Caenorhabditis elegans: one gene and its partner. The protein of the gene in region 2 purifies or fractionates together with the protein of the main gene of each other region. This does not show direct contact. Each region holds a gene or a part of one and is shown on either strand. Other genes may lie near its edges.

Region 1 (5,639 bases), on a different chromosome or scaffold from region 2:
AAACTTGAGTTCAAACAATTTCTGTTGTTAAAAAAACTTTAGCAAAATCCGTCAATAATTCCGTTTTTAATTTTGAAATATACTTTTCAGAGAGAATTGGCTCGTCAAATCTTTGACCTGATCATTGAAATGTTTGATGCTCTTGGAAAAGCTGGACTTCCAGAAATGAGAGCTGGATTATGTATTGGAGGAGTCCCAATTGGCGAACAAGCTAAAGACGTTAGAGAGTGAGTGATTAGAATTTCGAATTTTATGATTTTCATTATTTTCAGTGGTATTCATATTGTTGTTGCGACACCAGGACGACTATCTGATATGCTTACCAAGAAAATTATAAATTTAGAAGTAAGACATAACTTCAAAGATTTCAAAAATTGCTTCAATTTATTACAGGTTTGCCGTTACTTAGTTCTAGATGAAGCTGATCGAATGCTTGATATGGGATTTGAAGATGAAATTAAATCAATTTTCTATTTCTTCAAAGCTCAACGGCAAACTCTCCTTTTCTCGGCTACGATGCCACGAAAGATTCAATTTTTCGCAAAATCAGCACTGGTCAAACCTATTGTAAGTTTTATTTATGCAATCGAGAAGTTTCAAAAATATAATTTTTTAACCTACTCCCAAAAGTTGTCATTCTTCAATTCTTAAAGAATAATTTTTCAGGAGTTTGTCTGTAAATTATAAATATTTTAGGTCGTAAATGTTGGACGTGCGGGTGCTGCTTCATTGAACGTACTCCAGGAGCTTGAGTTTGTTCGATCAGAAAACAAATTGGTTCGTGTACTTGAATGCCTTCAAAAGACTTCTCCCAAGTAAGATTTTATTTATCAGAAAATAATTAATTTAGAAATATGGCAACGGTTTTATATTTCAGAGTTTTGATTTTTGCCGAAAAGAAAGTTGACGTTGACAATATCTACGAGTACTTGCTTGTAAAAGGAGTTGAAGTTGCTTCAATTCACGGAGGAAAAGATCAAAGTGACCGTCATGCTGGAATTGAGGCATTCCGAAAAAATGAGAAAGATGTACTTGTGGCAACAGATGTTGCATCAAAAGGACTCGATTTCCAAGGAATTGAACATGTTATCAATTTTGACATGCCTGAAGATATTGAGAACTATGGTGAATTTCTTATTTATTTTTCATAATTGAATTTTTATTTTCAGTTCATCGAATTGGTCGTACCGGACGTTCCGGACGGAAAGGTCTCGCAACGACATTTATCAACAAAAAATCGGAGATGTCAGTGCTTTCCGACTTGAAACAATTACTCGCAGAAGCAGGGCAGGAACTTCCAGAATTTCTCAAAATGTTGGCTGGTGACGAGGAGGGAACTGCTCCAGCTGGCACAAATGCGGAAAAGGTAGTTAGAAAACATTTAGAAAATCGGGAAGTTCAACATGTTTTCAGGGATGCGCATACTGCTCCGGTCTGGGTCATCGCATCACAGATTGTCCAAAACTCGCTGGAATCGGAAACAAAACGACGCAAGCATTGGCAAGAGGTGGAGGCGACGATGGTGGTTTCTGATTATTTTATTCATACATTGTATCTCAATCTATTTATTTACTGTTTTCTTGTTTACATTTATAAAAATATTTGTCAGAATTGTACTATTTATTTCATGTTTAAAAAAAGTCTGGATTTCCGAGAAAACATGAAAATAATTAATTGATCGAGTTCATTGAAAAAGAAAAATGAATTAAATGCATTCTCAAAATTCTTTTTTTTAAAGGAGACACCACGGTTTCAAGATCTGATGGGAGTCCGGATCTACGTTTTCCGGATCTACCATTTCCGGATCTACGTTTTCCGGATCTACGTTTTCCGGATCTGGCACCGTGCAAACTCTTAAAACGCTATTTTTTCGAAGAAAAAAGTGACAACGACGCTCCGATGTTACGCGTCGCGTGTTGTTAAGCGTTTCTTCTAGAAGAAAATTTCGAAAAAAGTCGTGCGTTGAAAAGCGTTTTGTGCGTTGGCACGGTGCCAGATCCGGAAAACGTAGATCCGGAAAACGTAGATCCGGAAAACGTAGATCCGGAAATGGTAGATCCGGAAAACGTAGATCCGGAATCCCATCAGATCTTGAAACCGTGGTGCCTCTTAAAGAGTCGATTCTTTAAAGGAACACAGACTTTCACACCGTTTAGGTTTCGCCACGCGCCCCAACTACAGTAACCTCGACACACTCATCTACTAAATTTTGGGACAGTTCCTAATTCTTTTTGCTGTTTTCAACTCAATTTTCTGGAAAAATCTTAATTTTCTGCGAAAATGTCTGATGGTTGGAGTGATAGCGAAAGTGCTGCTAAGGGTGAGTTTTATTTTGAACTTTCCACCGGTTTTATTTTGATTAAAAACTTTATTTCAGCCAAAACTGGATTCGGTAGTGGAGGCGGTTTCGGTGGTGGTAACAATGGAGGATCTGGGTTTGGTGGTGGTAAAAATGGAGGTACTGGATTCGGTGGAGGAAACACTGGCGGATCTGGATTCGGTGGAGGAAACACTGGCGGATCTGGATTCGGTGGAGGAAAGACTGGCGGTTCTGGATTTGGAGGTGGAAATACTTGTGGATCCGGCTTCGGTGGAGGCAGTACAGGAGGATCGCCGTATGGAGGAGCCAGTTCTGGATTCGGTGGTAGTACTGCCACATCTGGATTTGGAAGCGGTGAAAAATCAAGTGCATTTGGAGGATCAGGTGGCTTTGGAGGTAGTGCAACTGGATTCGGAAGTGGAGGAGGATCCTTTGGAGGTGGCAACTCTGGTTTTGGGGAAGGAGGACATGGCGGCGGAGAGAGAAACAATAGTTCGTTTTTTAAATTGACTTTATATAATTACGTTTGTTTCAGATTGTTTCAATTGCCAACAGCCAGGACATCGATCGAGTGACTGTCCAGAGCCGAGAAAGGAAAGAGAGCCGAGAGGTTTTATTTTGATATAACTTTATTGGCAGTAATTTGTTTTATTTTCAGTGTGCTACAATTGCCAGCAACCCGGGCACACCTCTCGTGAATGTACAGAAGAACGCAAGCCGCGTGAGGGTCGCACTGGTGGATTCGGGGGCGGAGCTGGATTTGGAAACAATGGAGGAAATGACGGTTTCGGTGGGGACGGTGGTTTTGGTGGAGGCGAAGAACGTGGTCCAATGAAATGTTTCAACTGTAAAGGCGAGGGACATCGCTCTGCTGAATGTCCGGAGCCACCCCGTGGATGTTTCAATTGTGGCGAGCAAGGTCATCGCTCGAATGAGTGCCCCAATCCAGCCAAGCCAAGGGAAGGTGTTGAAGGAGAAGGACCTAAGGCGACATACGTGCCAGTCGAAGACAACATGGAGGACGTTTTCAACATGCAGAAAATTTCGGAAGGCCTTATGTTCAACAAGTTTTTCGATGCCGAAGTTAAACTGACTTCATCCGAGAAGACTGTCGGTATCAAACCTTGCAAGACATTCGCGGAAGCTAATCTCACGGAGACCATGCAGAAAAACGTTGCTCATGCTGGATACTCCAAGACCACTCCAATTCAGCAATATGCTCTTCCACTTGTTCATCAGGGATATGATATCATGGCTTGTGCTCAAACTGGATCAGGAAAAACCGCTGCATTCCTTCTGCCTATCATGACTCGTCTCATTGACGATAATAATCTGAACACTGCCGGAGAAGGCGGTTGCTATCCCCGTTGCATCATCTTGACTCCAACTCGCGAACTCGCTGATCAAATTTACAACGAGGGAAGAAAGTTTGCTTATCAAACAATGATGGAGATCAAACCAGTTTACGGAGGATTGGCTGTCGGTTATAATAAGGGTCAGATCGAAAAGGGAGCCACGATCATTGTCGGAACTGTCGGAAGAATCAAGCACTTCTGTGAAGAGGGTACCATCAAGCTTGACAAATGCCGCTTCTTTGTTCTTGACGAGGCTGATCGTATGATCGATGCTATGGGATTCGGAACTGACATCGAAACTATTGTCAATTATGACAGTATGCCGAGGAAAGAAAATCGCCAGACACTCATGTTCAGTGCCACTTTCCCCGATTCTGTACAGGAAGCAGCTCGCGCTTTTCTCAGAGAAAACTACGTGATGATTGCAATCGACAAGATTGGAGCTGCAAACAAGTGCGTCCTACAGGAATTCGAGAGATGCGAAAGAAGCGAGAAGAAGGACAAACTTCTAGAGCTTCTGGGAATCGATATCGACAGTTACACGACCGAGAAAAGTGAGTTTTTCGTTTTCTTATTTGATGAAATAAATTTCAATATTTCAGGTGCCGAAGTTTACACAAAGAAAACCATGGTCTTCGTTTCTCAAAGAGCAATGGCTGATACACTGGCTTCAATTTTGTCATCGGCTCAAGTTCCAGCTATCACGGTTGGTATATTTCATTTTTGACCGCTTTTTAATTCAAAATGTACAGATCCATGGTGCCCGTGAGCAGAGAGAGCGTTCAGAAGCTTTGAGACAATTCCGAAATGGATCGAAACCTGTTCTTATTGCTACTGCGGTCGCTGAACGTGGACTTGATATCAAAGGAGTGGATCATGTCATCAACTATGACATGCCAGACAACATTGATGACTATATCCATCGTATCGGAAGGTCAGTTATATTTTATTAATGTTTCAATAATGCAAGCATTGTTTTCAGAACTGGAAGAGTTGGAAACTCTGGAAGAGCTACAAGCTTCATCTCGGAGGATTGCAGTCTTCTGTCCGAACTTGTTGGTGTTCTCGCCGACGCACAACAGATTGTTCCAGACTGGATGCAAGGTGCTGCTGGAGGCAATTACGGAGCTAGTGGATTTGGGTCCAGTGTACCAACTCAAGTCCCTCAAGATGAAGAAGGCTGGTAGAAAACCGACCAATTGATAGTGTTTCGCATTTATTAATGCTGTCAGTTCCCCCATATTTTATCCTGCCCTTGTTGATTTTTAATTGTATTTGTTGGTGTTGGTTGTCGTTATAGTCCTCGCCGCATAAACTCTGTTCAATATCATGCTGTTCACGACTTCAACTATTAGTTGCATATTAAATGAAAAGAATTTTAACAAGCAAACTAGGCAATATGATCTCATATCACATTGCTCTCTCAGCTAATCAACTTCAATAATTTGTTTTCCGATTCTCCGCGGCGAGCATTTTTCCGCATACAGAAACTTTAGGCTCAATTCTTTATTTATTTTCTTTTTTGCTCTTCTCTCACTCGCTCATTTCCGGTCGATTTACATTCGTTTTTTCGCTTTCCTCTCACCTGCTTTTTTGCTCCCGTATTTTTTCTGTTGGCTTTGCCATTCCATTTACGGTTTGCTCAGTGATCACAATCAGGAAATAGAGTTTGAGAAGAAGAGTATTAGGGAAAAGAGGAAGAGATGATGCTTAGTTTCTGTTTCGCTGTGGCATTTCCTGTGTGCTTGTCTATCAATTTCTTCAAATATATTTTTAGTAATACTGTAGTAAGGTGTATTCTCAGTAGCACGTGGTGGGGTCCCACTGCGAGAGGGGTACTGTAACATACAATTTTTTGCGAAAATGTTTTCAGCTCCTATCTGCAAGTCGTCATCTCATTTTTTCTTAAATAAGTGCACATTTTCTATTCCGTTTCGTTTATTAACTAATAAATATAACTTCAA
Region 2 (4,964 bases):
CGACCTAAGGATAACCACTGACTCTACAGTCCTCCGCTCTACCAACTGAGCTATCGACTGCACGCCGTTTTCCTCTGTTGAGAGAAAAGACCTGGCGGGAACAGAAAGTGTCAGTCATATAGAGCATTTTCATATGCGAAGTGTATAAAATTTATATTTCTACAAGAAGTTGCCTAAAATAGCCACAAAAATAGTGTTTTCGAATTTTCTTCAATAAAGGGATGTGGCTCAAAAACGTTGAGTTCCATCAATCATTAGGCATTTGGCAGGAAGAAAAGATTAGCTACAGCAAAAAAAGATAGAAAAGTAGTATAAGTATTTATTTTTCAAATACATTTTCCAGTCCGAATTCGGTCAACTACACGGGGCCATTAACCAGAACATCAACTATGGATACTGTTGAGTTGGAGGCATTGTTGAGGAGAGAACAACATTTCGTTGTACCATCGTACAGTGAAGTTATGCTCATGCAAAATACGATTGCTAATTCAAATGTAAGGTTTTTTTTAAATATTAAAATTTTAAGATCATTTGCTCCTGATAAATATTTATTAATCGCTCTGATAATATTGTAGACCAATTATCCAAATATTCGATGCCTGGACCCTGTGATTCTTCCACGACCATTCGTGAGTACAACTAACGAACATATCGTACTTCGGAACTATGGAGCAACAGAAACCGACAATTCACTATCTGAGCCCATTACAGCAACGCCGAGACCTCTTAGAGTTAGCCGAAGTATGACATTTGCTGCTCAAGGAAATCTCGAAGAATCAGCTGAGAATCTGAGTTGTTTAGAAAACGGAAGTAGAGCAAATCGTGCTATTCCATCGAGTCGGCGGAATTTGCCGTTACGTTCGTTATCGATAGGTGGTATTTCTGCTTGGTCCAATGGTTACAGAGAAATTGGAAATCCTGATGATTCACAACTACTCATTGAACCAGATGAACCACCTCCACCATATGAGGTCGGTTTTCAATTTATAATGGAAATGACAATTTATTTCTCAGGTTGCTCTCAGAATGTGTGCTCCATTATATGAACGCCTACGACGATCAATATCTTCACGATTGGCTTCAATTTCTCACTCGAGCTCGAAGGATTTGAAGTCGCTAACTTTGAAAAGTAGTTCTAGTAACAATAATAACAATAATTCAAACAACAATAATAACGATGATCCAGAACATCCATAAAATCGGGTATTTTTTCACATGCGGACCAATTTTAAGAATTGTTAAACGTTGGTGCTTGAAATAAATAATTTTTCTGATTTTTTTTTATTTTCAAGTTTAAAAAAATTGTGTTTCAAGTTATTCGATTAAAAGCGTTGTTTTTATTGCCTTATTAAATGGTAAAAAGCAATCAATTTTTAAAGGAGCGTCCACTGAATACGAGGAGATGGTCTCGGCACGAAATATAAAAAACTACAGTACCCTTGGAAGTATTGGCGCGGAAATTTTTTTTTATTCAGTTATTTATCTGTTCAGTTTTCGTATTTTTGATGTTAAAACTCCATTTTTCTCTTCAAAATTTGTATTAAAAATCACTGGGCAACGCATTTTCACTATTACAGAAGTATTTTTGATGAAATCTTCAAGAAATTCACATGTTTCTTTGTTTAAAATTTTAGGATTTGACGGTTTCGGTTTTTAGGCCAAAAAACTCCGTTACCAGTTTTAATTTCGTTCTGATTCCGTGAGGCAATGCTTCACTAATCACATTTTTCACGAAATACAAAGTCTTGCTTGAAAATTTAACAAAAAACTCCAATACTCTCGCAAAATCTTGAATATGGCCATTTTATTTGATGTAATTATTTCTTTTACAGATAAATACTTCAAACCAACCAATCCATCTATCTGACAAGCTAATGTCCAGAGATAAACCACCTCAACGTGAGGTTGGCGGACGTCGGTTGCCCTACGAAATGGGTTCGTTGAAGTTCGACGAAGACCCGTTCCGCGGACAGCGCCGGCGTCCGTGGATGTGCTTCAGAATCGGCTATCCGACAAGCGAGTTCTCATCAGAGCACTTCATGTACGTTCAAATTATTCAAAAATTATTGAAAAAACGTATTGTTTCAGGAAATTCGTGAAAAGGTGTCACACTTCGATGATAGAAGTAGGTATTCTTCTCGATGATGAACGGGAATTCCTGCAATATCAAGAAGTCAGGGAAGATTATCTTCTTCTGAAAAAGCTCATCGAGGAAGGTCTGCAGAAGTGTGAAACGATCTATGAAAAAGGACCGCTGTCGACTCCGGTTGTTTTTTTCATTTTAGACCAGTGCGGTAAGAAAAGTAAATTATACATAACGTGTATAAATATTCACTCATACAGACGAAGACGAAGTCCAAAACATGCTGGATATGTTTAGGGAGTCTTGTTATATCTTCCATATGAAACGCAACGAAATTCTCAACTGGATCAACGAAATGGAGTATGAAGAACTGGAGTGAGTAAATGTTCAGCATAACGTCGAAAAAATTCATATTTCAGAAGTGACTGCTCTAAATTTGCACAGTTCATCAAAGGAGTGGAAAATCTGACGGAATCCATCGCGATGCCCATGGAGGTAGAAACAGAGTAGGCTATCTAGAAGGAAAAAATAATTAAAAAACATCTAACTTTCATAGAGAATTCATCTTTGGAAAGAGTTCGATTGTATCGACCGAAGACTTTGTTGAAGACGCCCCTCACAAGCAGATCGCACAAGATCAACGCGAAACAAGGTATCGTTACCATGTTGTAAACTTTCTATTCAAAAATTTTGCAATATCTCTTCGTTCATATTAGACTTATGGCCTAGCTATTTCTTTCTTTTTCCACACGTCCAACATAGATAGACAGTTCGAGACGTAGAGAAAAACAGAAAAACCGTGACTAGTTGCTTCCCCTGTGATTGATATGCTTTTTTTTCACAAATTCGAAAAAAATAATCTGAATAAGCATGTTTTCACATCAGAATTTGTTAAACAGTGTGTTTGGAAATACTGAAATATTCCCTTGACTCGCAGGATTTAACGAATAATTATTTCAAAATTTTCGATTGTTTTTCTCAATAACATCAATAATTTTTCCTGAATTCCTGATATTGCTTTTAAAAATATATAATAGAATTGGTGACCTTTGTTAAATCATTGATAATCGCAGTGGCTTTTGTTTTTATTCTCGTTTCATAAACAACGTGAATCGTGGTAGCGGAAAAAAAACCACATTTATCGTGTTCCCATCTTTCCCCAGAAACCTGGCCGCGTTCCTTTTCACTGTAGTAAACGCGGATTTTTGTGGGCATACTGATTTCGTTAGAAAATACTTTTTCTTAAAATGCTAGAGCTCTCCGCGTTCTCTCATAATGTATAATTAAATTATCTTGTTTCAGACCAATTCGCCAACCGTATTCAATGGTCAGAAACCTCGCCCCCCCAGGGCTCCCGCCGCCTGGAATTTCGATTTCAAACAGTTCGCCTCCTGGATTATCTTCAGTTTCGCCAATTCCCCGAGCAGATACACGCGAATCCCGTTATTCCACCCCTCAACCACCCGGATTGTCAATTCCAGCACCACCTGGAATATCTCTTCCAACTCCACCAGGAATATCTCTTCAAAATCATCAGAATGATCAATTCGAGCAAGCTCATAGTACCATTTCGAGAATGAGCGAGAATAGTTCATCTTCGAGGCGTCGATTCCGCGATGAAGAAGTTCAGGAAGAAGAAGGAGATCATATTCTATCGTCTGAAGATGTACATGCTGCGCGGAACGTGTGTGAAACCAAAATCCTTGTTAGAGGAGTTCCGCAAAAGAACGATTCTGAGTTGGTAAGATCTATTCATTTTTGTGATAAACTGCAACCTGTGAGTTATTTCGGCAATTTCCGGAAAACTAATCTTCAATAAACACGAAATTAATATTAAAATTTTAATTTTCAGTCCAAGCTCATCAACGGATCAAAACTATACGTACGGTTCGAACGTCCGTTTGTAAAACTAGCTCACAATCTAGAACTTCTCTACGTTGTCAATTATGCTATCAGTTCTCGAAAAAGTATTGTTCGGGATCACAGTAAAGCAATTATTCGCGGATTGTTCGAAAAGGATTTTCTACTGAAGCTCAAAAGTAAATTCCTGGAAAGCTCGTTTGACAATGACACGTGGACTCCCGAGGGTACAGAATTGCTATTCGAAATCTTTCATTTGTTTTTCACAACGGCTCGATACAAGGGTGGATTCATGCTGACACTTCCGAGATTTGTAAGTTGAAATAAACTGAAAATTTTAAAAGTAAACATTATTATAGGCGCCGTCTTGGCATGATTTCTCGATGGCTTTCGATATTGCTGACATGGATGGACTTGAGGAAGCTGGTGTGGGTGATGATGAGCTTAGAAATCTTAGGAGGCTGATTGGTTACATTGAAACATGGATCAAACGGGCAGAACGGGAACGAAACCCCAGTCCATTGGCGCTGCGGTCATATTCAGTGTACGAAAAAGCTGGTTCTTCTGACAGTGGACGCCAAGTTTTATCTGAAAGTCGAGGTGCAGGTTCCAGCAATGTTTATGGTCATGACGAGGTGGATTTCGTCGATCACAGACGCAGAGACGAGTTCGGACATCGTGATAACTACCGGACAGAAAACCGTCGCCATAAAAGCCCGGACAATTTTGGAGAAGTTCACAGAAGGCTCGATGAGCAACAACAACAACGACATGAGGATGAATCATCAAGATATCGCGATGACTCGAGACAGTCTCGACGAGCAGATGATAGAAGAGATCAATATCAGTACAACGAATCAACATCTATGGAAAATCACTTGGGGTTTCACAACGGCGGTGGCACCGTCAGTGAGCACTCACGAGATGATAAATTCGTTTCGCCTCAAAATTGTGAAGAAAAACGCAAATATTGCGAAGAGGACACAGATGCGAAACCACAACAACCATATCGCTTTGAGGA

What was found. The genes of interacting proteins can lie anywhere in the genome.
Region 1: the proteins of znfx-1 (region 2) and glh-1 purify together in Caenorhabditis elegans (affinity purification with western blotting, with the first as the bait; one study listed by BioGRID). This does not show direct contact.

The regions. Positions count from the first base shown.
Region 1 is NC_003279.8:6,852,532-6,858,170, forward strand, and holds glh-1 (ATP-dependent RNA helicase glh-1), read left to right. Parts: upstream 1-1,946; 5' UTR 1,947-2,280; coding exon 2,281-2,320; intron 2,321-2,377; coding exon 2,378-2,812; intron 2,813-2,855; coding exon 2,856-2,930; intron 2,931-2,978; coding exon 2,979-4,229; intron 4,230-4,277; coding exon 4,278-4,381; intron 4,382-4,427; coding exon 4,428-4,609; intron 4,610-4,657; coding exon 4,658-4,862; 3' UTR 4,863-5,005; downstream 5,006-5,639. Other genes in the region: sacy-1 (RNA helicase), read left to right, coding at 91-227, 273-345, 394-567, 697-815, 878-1,125, 1,170-1,366, 1,414-1,533. UniProt on the Caenorhabditis elegans protein: Probable ATP-binding RNA helicase. May act redundantly with the P-granule component glh-4 to regulate the formation of the granular structure of P-granules in embryos. Plays a role in positively regulating the localization of pgl-1 to P-granules.
Region 2 is NC_003280.10:9,211,828-9,216,791, forward strand, and holds the start of znfx-1 (NFX1-type zinc finger-containing protein 1 homolog), read left to right. Parts: upstream 1-1,874; coding exon 1,875-2,041; intron 2,042-2,088; coding exon 2,089-2,294; intron 2,295-2,343; coding exon 2,344-2,458; intron 2,459-2,502; coding exon 2,503-2,589; intron 2,590-2,639; coding exon 2,640-2,735; intron 2,736-3,385; coding exon 3,386-3,824; intron 3,825-3,935; coding exon 3,936-4,256; intron 4,257-4,302; coding exon 4,303-4,964. Other genes in the region: ZK1067.4 (Transmembrane protein 151 homolog), read left to right, coding at 344-494, 576-971, 1,015-1,197. UniProt on the Caenorhabditis elegans protein: Epigenetic inheritance factor which, in association with the Argonaute protein wago-4, mediates small RNA-directed transgenerational epigenetic inheritance and thus balances the transgenerational inheritance of epigenetic information.